Linked DNA regions of Drosophila melanogaster. The gene in region 1 interacts genetically with each later gene. Each region holds a gene or a part of one and is shown on either strand. Other genes may lie near its edges.

What was found.
Region 2: of ana2 (region 1) and Sas-6, changing one enhances a phenotype caused by changing the other (phenotypic enhancement), as found in Drosophila melanogaster (one study listed by BioGRID).

What each region holds. Positions count from the first base shown.
Region 1 is NT_033778.4:8,898,004-8,901,999, reverse strand, and holds ana2 (anastral spindle 2), read left to right. Parts: upstream 1-1,788; 5' UTR 1,789-1,879; coding exon 1,880-2,633; intron 2,634-2,684; coding exon 2,685-3,193; 3' UTR 3,194-3,271; downstream 3,272-3,996. Other genes in the region: MrgBP (MRG/MORF4L binding protein), read left to right, coding at 693-1,107, 1,160-1,350; CG13751 (uncharacterized protein), read right to left, coding at 1,425-1,658; Sec31 (secretory 31), read right to left, coding at 3,423-3,611, 3,678-3,749, 3,827-3,996.
Region 2 is NT_033777.3:29,993,853-29,997,850, forward strand, and holds Sas-6 (spindle assembly abnormal 6), read left to right. Parts: upstream 1-1,504; 5' UTR 1,505-1,514; coding exon 1,515-1,688; intron 1,689-1,747; coding exon 1,748-2,599; intron 2,600-2,657; coding exon 2,658-2,991; intron 2,992-3,045; coding exon 3,046-3,104; 3' UTR 3,105-3,174; downstream 3,175-3,998. Other genes in the region: CG7903 (uncharacterized protein), read right to left, coding at 21-236, 296-887, 941-1,226, 1,298-1,306; CG15525 (uncharacterized protein), read right to left, coding at 3,175-3,523, 3,586-3,722. UniProt on the Drosophila melanogaster protein: Central scaffolding component of the centrioles ensuring their 9-fold symmetry. Required for centrosome biogenesis and duplication. In ciliated neurons, required for centriole assembly but not necessary for cilium basal body and cilia function.

The DNA.
Region 1 (3,996 bases):
TTGGTAGATTGGTGTAGTTTAGTCAGTGTTTAGTACTAGGCGGGAAGTTAGGATAGCTAGATAGTGAGTCACACTACGCATTAACATATGTGTTATTTTGTGGCACATGTAAAGAACCGAACGCAGGCATTGGTTTCATCGATCGCATTGCTGATTAACTTTCCAGCCGAACTGGAAGCCTTGACGCGAACAAGTGCAAGGTTATTAACTGACCCCAAGTGGGCGTGGTGGTGGGCGGTGGGCGCTACTTGTGCCAGCACATGGAGAACCCGAGTTGTGTGCAAAAAACACTGCTCAACTCGTTGGGAACACCGAAAATTAGTTTTTTATGCAGAAATAGTGAAGGAGAACACACACACAAACACACGAAGGCGTACTGCGCCGTGTGGTTAGCAGAGGGATTATAGTGGAAAAGTGAAGTTTTCGACGGATGCACACACAACACATAACTATATTTGCACACTATTTGTTAATTACCAGCTCCGGCTTATATGTTTTTTTTTTTTTTAAATCTCGAACTCTACGGGCTAAAATCGAGCAAAGTTGACGAATAAAAGTGGATACACACCCAAACTAGTGATGTGCCGCGCGGCGATAGTTCGGGTGCGTGAGCGCACCCGCATACCATCGCTAATATTCGCGCAGAAAAACATACAATACGTATCAGTTTTTAGTTCCATGCGCTCTGCAAAATGATGGCCAAGGACAAGGGTCTGGCTGTGGCCGGAACGGCGGCCCCCTTACCGGCCGCCCTCGACCACGAGTGGTCCGCCGAGGAAGAGCTGCAGCTGTTCCATGCAATGGAAGGCCTGCGCCCGGTGGGCATCAACAAGCACTTCTACATGTCCTGCATTGTCCAGCGTCTGTCCAAGTCGCTGAACCGTGAAATGCCCAGCGAGCTGATCTGGCGCCACCTGGGCACCATGTACAAGCTGAAGGAACTGGACGATCTGGAGTCGCTGCCCTTTCCCAACGAGGAGCGCGAGTTCAGCCTGCCGGAGCAGGATTACGGAACGCTACAGACCAAAAAGACGGTGGAAGTGCATGCCAACGAGGAGGCTGCAGAGGCACAGTCGGCCCCTCCAACAGCAGAGACCAATGGCAAAGGTAGTTCGTTAGTTATCATCAGGATTCATTCACTTGTAATGTTGTTTTACAGCTCCACCTGCAACCAAAACGCCGGTACCGACGAATTCCACCAAGGACGGCGACAAAAAGCCCGTCGCCAAGCCCCAGGAGCAGCTGCCCAAGCGTCCGGCCAAGCGCACACGCGGCTCCATGTCCAACGAGTCCATCAGCCCCTCCACTACGCCGCCGCCGGTGCAGAGCAACAAGCGCCGTCGCATATAGGTGACCCCCGCCCGAAACTGACGATTGTTGATCCGTTTTAGCTCATTAGTTTTACTGTACTCTAATAAAAGGATTTATTCTTCGAAATCGTTGTCCTCCTCGTTGGAGCCGTTCCCGTTCTCCTGCGCCAGAACCTCGGTGGCCTGCATGTTTTCCAGGAGCGATTTGAGAAGGCGTCGGTTGAGATGGTCGGTCTGCGTCAGTTCCCGGACTGCCTGGGGCGGAGCATTCTCGTCTGCCGGTGCAGGGCTGTTCTCAGCTGGAGTCGGAGTCTCTGCCATGGCTTTGATGTGCTCCAAAACAGGCATTTTTCCCCCGAGAAATTTCAGCTTTTGCTATGACACACAGTCCGCTGGGTGACTCGTGCACTTGGAAACTTGGCTAAGTGTAGGGTACACTCGATAAAGTATCGATAAGTTGGCGTTTTACGTCAGCCCTAGTTCCACCCCTAAGTCGATCGACTTCCAATTGGACAGATTCTCCCGCTCGAATTTAATTTAATCGGCAAATATAAACAAATACGCTCCAAATGTTTGTTCCCGAAACGGAGGATATGCTGCCCAGACTAGCGCCCAGGCCGAGTGCAGCAGTGCCCATGGGCCACACCAATGAGATTATAGGGCCCACCGTGCCGGAGGTATCCATATTGTTTGGCCAGCCGCCGCAGGATCCGCAGATGCAGCCGCAGCAGCCAAATCATGCACATCAGGAGTCATCCCCTCGTGCTGCACCCACCTTCGCGTCCTGGAAGAAGCAAATGCTGCCCAGGGTCAACTTTTCGCCCATTTTGGCCACAGAACTGGGTCCTCGCACCGCTCCCAGCAGCAATAGTCCGTGCTCCTCGAAGGAATACCAAGTAATGCCCCGGGATCGCAACTATGCAAGCGATGCGCAGCAGACTACCAATCATATGAACTGCAATGCTGGTGGCTATAATGCCGAGCCCAAGCAACAGGCATATCAATCTAGGCGCTTGTCCAGCTCCTCCAACGCAGATGTCCTCACCATCTGTGCTGGCACACAGACCGATCCCTTCAACCCATCTCCTCCGCGAAAATCACTGCCCCAGGTTGTCTATTCCGACATCGACGTCAGCAACTTGGCCAATAAGAGTGATCTGGCGGCTCTGGTATCCCTTGTGGAGTCCGTGCGCCATGAGCAGCAACAGCTTCGGAATCTCTGCGAGATGATTTTGGAGCAACAGCAGCGAGCGAAACCCGAAGCCATTTCAAAAGCCAGCAGTACCACTGGCACCCAGTGCGATATTCTGACCACCAATCAAGGTGCGTACGTTGAATCTGTATGAAAAGAATCCAATAAAACATCCTTCCTAGCAGGTAGACGCTTGTCTCCCATTATGCAGGATTACATAGCAGAGGAGGAGGAACCATTGCCGCCGCCACAAGCACGAGTGATTCCTCAGTTTCCGTCTCCTCGACCACATCCGCCGATCGCCCAATCTACGGGCTACCGGGCCAATACGCCTCAGGCGAAGCGGATCCCTCAACTGGCCAAGCCCAACACCGAGAAGAGCATGGTGATGAACGAGCTGGCGCTGAAATACTTGCGCCAGCCAGTGGATGAGTTGATGAAGGATATGCGCCTGGGGGCGTCGCCGAAGTCCCCTAATCCAGAGCCACTGCGTCCGATCGACAACATAGGCCACGCGCAGAGTCCAAACGACATATCCAATGCTTCGTACAAGTATCTCAAAAAATACCGTCTGCTGCCCGAGGAGCAACTGGAGCCGGTGTGTCCACAATCTCCCATGGCGGCGACCGCCCCTTCGCCACATATTCAACTGGACTTGGAGAATATCAGGAACCAGCCGAAGCTGTTGTGAAAGCATGTACAATGTTCGTTTTGTTATTTATGCATATGTCTATTTGCGATTTAAGTGGAAATATATTTCAATACACGGAATAACGTTGACAATCTTCTGGTGATCCCAGCCTAAACTAACGTAGAGAACCACTCTTTGTATACAAAACATTTTGTGTTTGACATCGATATCTGAAGACACAATAAGAATATACGTTTAGTGAACTTGGCTGCGATCCGGCGACGGGGCTCTAACGCAGAACCAACTGTAGCTCGGATGCGGATTGCAGTAGGACCTTCAGTCCCTGCATAAAGCCCGCGCACTGCGCAAAGTCCGTTCCGAAGGCGATTTGCGTGTGGATTTCCATAGCATTGGCATAGTCGGATATTTGAATGTACTGAACTATTTGATTCAGATATTGCACCGTGGTGGGAGTGAGCTGGAATTAAAGTAAATGCCATTTGAGAATTGCAATTGAATCGCGATCTAAGGCAGCAGCTCTCACCTTTCCATCTCTCAGGCAGTCGTAGAGATTTTCGAGCCTCTTGACAACATCGACAAACTTTCGTTTTGTGCGCTTAAAATGTAAGAAAATTTATAAACAAAAGTAAGTTATTCCTTTTGTCTATATGGATCATTTATTAATAGACTTACCGGATCATTGGTTGCGCCCAGGCAGCGGTTCTTCAGCTCCTCCAGCACAGTCTGCAAGTAGATGTACTCCTCGGGGAGTGGTGGCTTCTCCTTGGGCGGCGCCGGTTGGCGCTGTTGCTGGATGGGCGCTGGCTGCTCGGTATAGCCAATGGTTTGCTGTTGTCCCTGCC
Region 2 (3,998 bases), on another chromosome or scaffold:
GACGATATGAATGAACCTACCGGTTTCTTTGGCCTGGACCTCCGCCGCCACTGCCCAAGGGCGGGAACTCCGAGTGATATGCATTTATGCCATTCTGATTGTGATTTCTACCTCCTGAACCTCCGCGTTTGCTTGGGCCTCCTTGGGGACTGCTTGTCTCGTGACTGCTATCGCGTCTGTCATTGAATCCGCCTCCTCCTCCATTGAAAAATCCACGTCCTCCCGGTGGATTTCCTCTATATGGCAAAACAAGATATTATATATAATTTAGAACCCAATCTTATGCACAACTTACCCATTAGTCCCACGATTGCCAGAGTTCATTGGTCCATTGCCAAAGCGTCCGAAGCCCATTTGCTGCTGCTGATGCTCTACAGGCAGGGCAAATCCACGTCGATCCTGTCGCACATGGCTTGGACCTGGGCCGCCGCCGCCGGCCCTCTGATTTACGGATCCTCCTCCCCCGCTGCTGGAGCTGCCTCCCTGAAAGTCACTATTATTGCCTCCTCCCCTATATCCGCTGGTTGGACTGTTCTTAAAGTTTCTTCTGCCAGGCTGTGGTCCACTGTTGTCCCGCTGCTGAAACCGATTGCTGCCGAAGCGTCCCTCGTTGCCCGCGCTTCCACCGAACTTGCCTCCGCCTGCAAATTTGTTCCTAAAGCCCTGTCCCTGATTGGAAGACTCATTGTTCGGTGGTCCTTTCGAGTATGGAGCACTGCGCTGTTGTCTGTAGTTGGACTCGTTTCTCACGGGACCAAATTTGGCGGCCGAGGAGTTCGAGCTCCTTGGGCCTTCGTTGGAGAATCTGCCACCGACTTCCTCACGAAAGTTGCGCTTGAAGTTGGTATTGGATTCATGAGGTCTCTTGTCCGCCCCGCCACCTTGAACTGAGGATGATGAAATACTTAGATGCTGGATCTTTGGAGTGATCAAAGCTTACCCTGCGAGGGCCTGCGCCCCGGATTGTCCCCAGAGCCCGGCTGACCTCGACTGCCACCTCCCGGGCCGTACTTTGGCCTGCCCGCCTCCACCACAATGGGCTGGCCCTTGAAGATGGTGCCATTCAGCGCTGCGATGGCCGCCTCCGCCATGTCCGTGTTCTCCAGATGGACGAAGGCGCAGCGATTCATCACGTCGCACTCAACGACCGATCCATAGTTGGTGAACAGTCGACGCAGCTCCTCCGGCTTGCAGCGCGGCAGGCTGCCGACGAACACCTTGGCGGTCTGCAGGATAAAGCTAGCATTACTCCGGATTACTATGGACAATCCGGCGGCGCTGCCTCTTTCTTACGTACAGTATTCATGTATTTATTTTTCTCTACAACTTTTCGCTGTTTTTTTCTTTTATTGAAATGGAGATGGACAACTGTGCACCTGACCGGCAGTGTGACCAGCGATGGCTACTTCCACGGCCATATCGGTAGCTATCGACATCGATAGACCCAAGCCATCACTTTTGTTTACCAATTTTAAAATTTTAAAAATTAAGGTTTCTCACGAGCCTGATCTATCATGTGGCCTCCAGGGAGCGAGGATAGCTACTCCGCCAAAATGGACTATGGCAAGAGCGTGGTGAACATCCTGCCCAGCGTAGAGATGCTGGTGAACTTTAATGGCGAAATGACGCGGTCTAGCAAACGGTCATGTCTACTGTACGCGGAGAGAGTGGACTTCAAGGAGCTGCTGGTAAATATGCTTGTCAAGACCTCCTCCGATCAAATTTCAATACATCCTCTGCCCCACAGCAACTCCGATTAACGGAGAAGTCCGATCAACGGCGCATGTACATCACCACAGTGGACAGCGCCTCCTTTCAGGATCTTAAACAGGATCAGTCGCTGAATGTGTCATTCTCTGGGTTCATTGACAATGTAGTGCGCATGCTGAAGGACTGCCAGTCGGGTAAACTGGAGCTGCACCTGACCACACGGGATCAGAACCTTTCATCCGGCAGGGAGGTCCACGACTATTATCTTCAGTTTGTTGAAATTCGGTCCTTTAAGAACCTAGTTCACCTTAGCCTGCCTTGTCGTTCTGCTCCCTTGAACACCGTACTCTTCTACATAAACAGCATGCTGGAAGCCTCCCACAAAAAGCAATATATTCTCGAGCAAAGTATGCAGCAAATGCAGGCTGAAATCAACGCACAACGCGCGCATGCGGAAAGGTTGACCACGGAAAACACAAATATCAGGGAAGCTTTGGCCGAAAATACTCGCATCTTAGAGGAAAAGCATGCTGCCGAGGTCCATCAATACCAGGAAAAACTGTCCAAAATAAACGAGCAGCGCAGCAATGAGCTGGAGAGAAATCGTAGAGCGATCTCCGGCTTTCAGGCCCAATTGGACAAGGCTTCGTTGGAGAAAGCAGAACTAAAGTCGGCCCAAGAGCAGGCCGAGAAACGATGTCAAACCCTGTCCGAGGAGTTGTCCTGTTGCAAAGCCAGAGTGTGCACCCTAAAAGAGCAAAATGACAAACTGCACGGGGATGTGGCCAATATCAGGAAGCATGAACGCAAGTTGGAGTACAAAATCGAGGACCTCAAGCAGCACACTGTCGAGCTGCAGGAACATATTCAAAAGGGAAACAAAGAGAAGGTATGTGTATAAAAAGAATAATGCACATCAGAAGAGTATATCCCTTTTAATTTTGCAGGCCAACATAGCCGCTGAACTGGAGGCCGAGAAGAAGATCCTGCACACCAAGCGCCAGGCTTTGGAAATGGCCTCCGAGGAGATCTCCAAGGCCAACCAGATAATCGTTAAACAAAGCCAGGAGCTGCTCAACCTCAAAAAGACCATTGCCTGGCGCACAGAGGTGGCTCTGCAGCAAGAGAAGGCGGTTCAGGCCAAGGAGAGCCTACTATCCCTGCGGGAGAATGAGCTGCGCGAGGCTCGAATAACTATTGAAAAACTGAGGGAGGAAATCCCCCAGCAACTGCAATCCATGCGTAACTTTGCCCAGGGACTGGAGCAGAAGTATTCCAAACGTAAGCTGAGACCCCAATCTTTAAGTGTACCTACTTACAACTTGCTCTTTTCAGAAATCCTCATTCTAAAAGAACGGCTTGCAATACCCACGGGCAAAGAAAATCGGCGATAGTTTTACTTATTGTTAATGCATTTTTTCGTTTTTTGTACCAGTTTAGTAAAGTTAGTTGTATTATTCAGCTCTAGTCATAATCCTCCTGAACACTTTCACCTGCATGAGCCGTGGCCACATTCACCGCTTGGCTGATATCCTCCATTTGGTTCAGTTTCAGTCGCTCACGGATGAGTTCAGCAATAGCTTTCTGGGTACGTCGTTCCAGTCGCTCCAACTTTTTGCTGGCATCCCGCTTCAGATCCCAGTCGGGTTTTCGGGGAGCCAGGTTGGTTATGTCAATCTCATCTATCACCATGGGCTGCTGGAGCAGACTCAATTGATCCTCCACAGCTGATTCTATGTTGCCCGTGGGTTCCTGTGCTAGAATCTCGCCATCGGTGGTCTCATTCTGGGGCTTGTAGCTGCGGAAAACTGGTCTGCAAAGATATATGAAACTGGTTTATAGGGATTCATAATAGCATTTCATTGTATTGCTGACTTGGGTAACTTTTCAATGGACTCGGCAGCGTCTCCTCCTTTGTTTTGCACTTGTTCCCGGAGTTTTTGCAGACGCTCCTTGCGTTTTAGAGATTCTTGTGTCAGCTTGCCGACGCCATTGTTGTCCATCATGCCCATGTGAAGTTTGTTCTCAAGATAATACAATTAATTTAAATTTGAGTCTGGGGTCTTTACGTTTATTTATTATTGTTATGTTTCTTGTTCTTCCCATACATATATCGTATATCGATTACAATCGCGTTCGTTACCAGCTTGGAATTATGCAGGTATGAACTATTATTTTACAACAAGATATTTGTTGTTATACAAGATTCGATTTTATTTTATTTATTACAATTTAAGATTAAGGAGGCGTATCAAGATATTAAAAATACATAATTACTTTAGTGACGA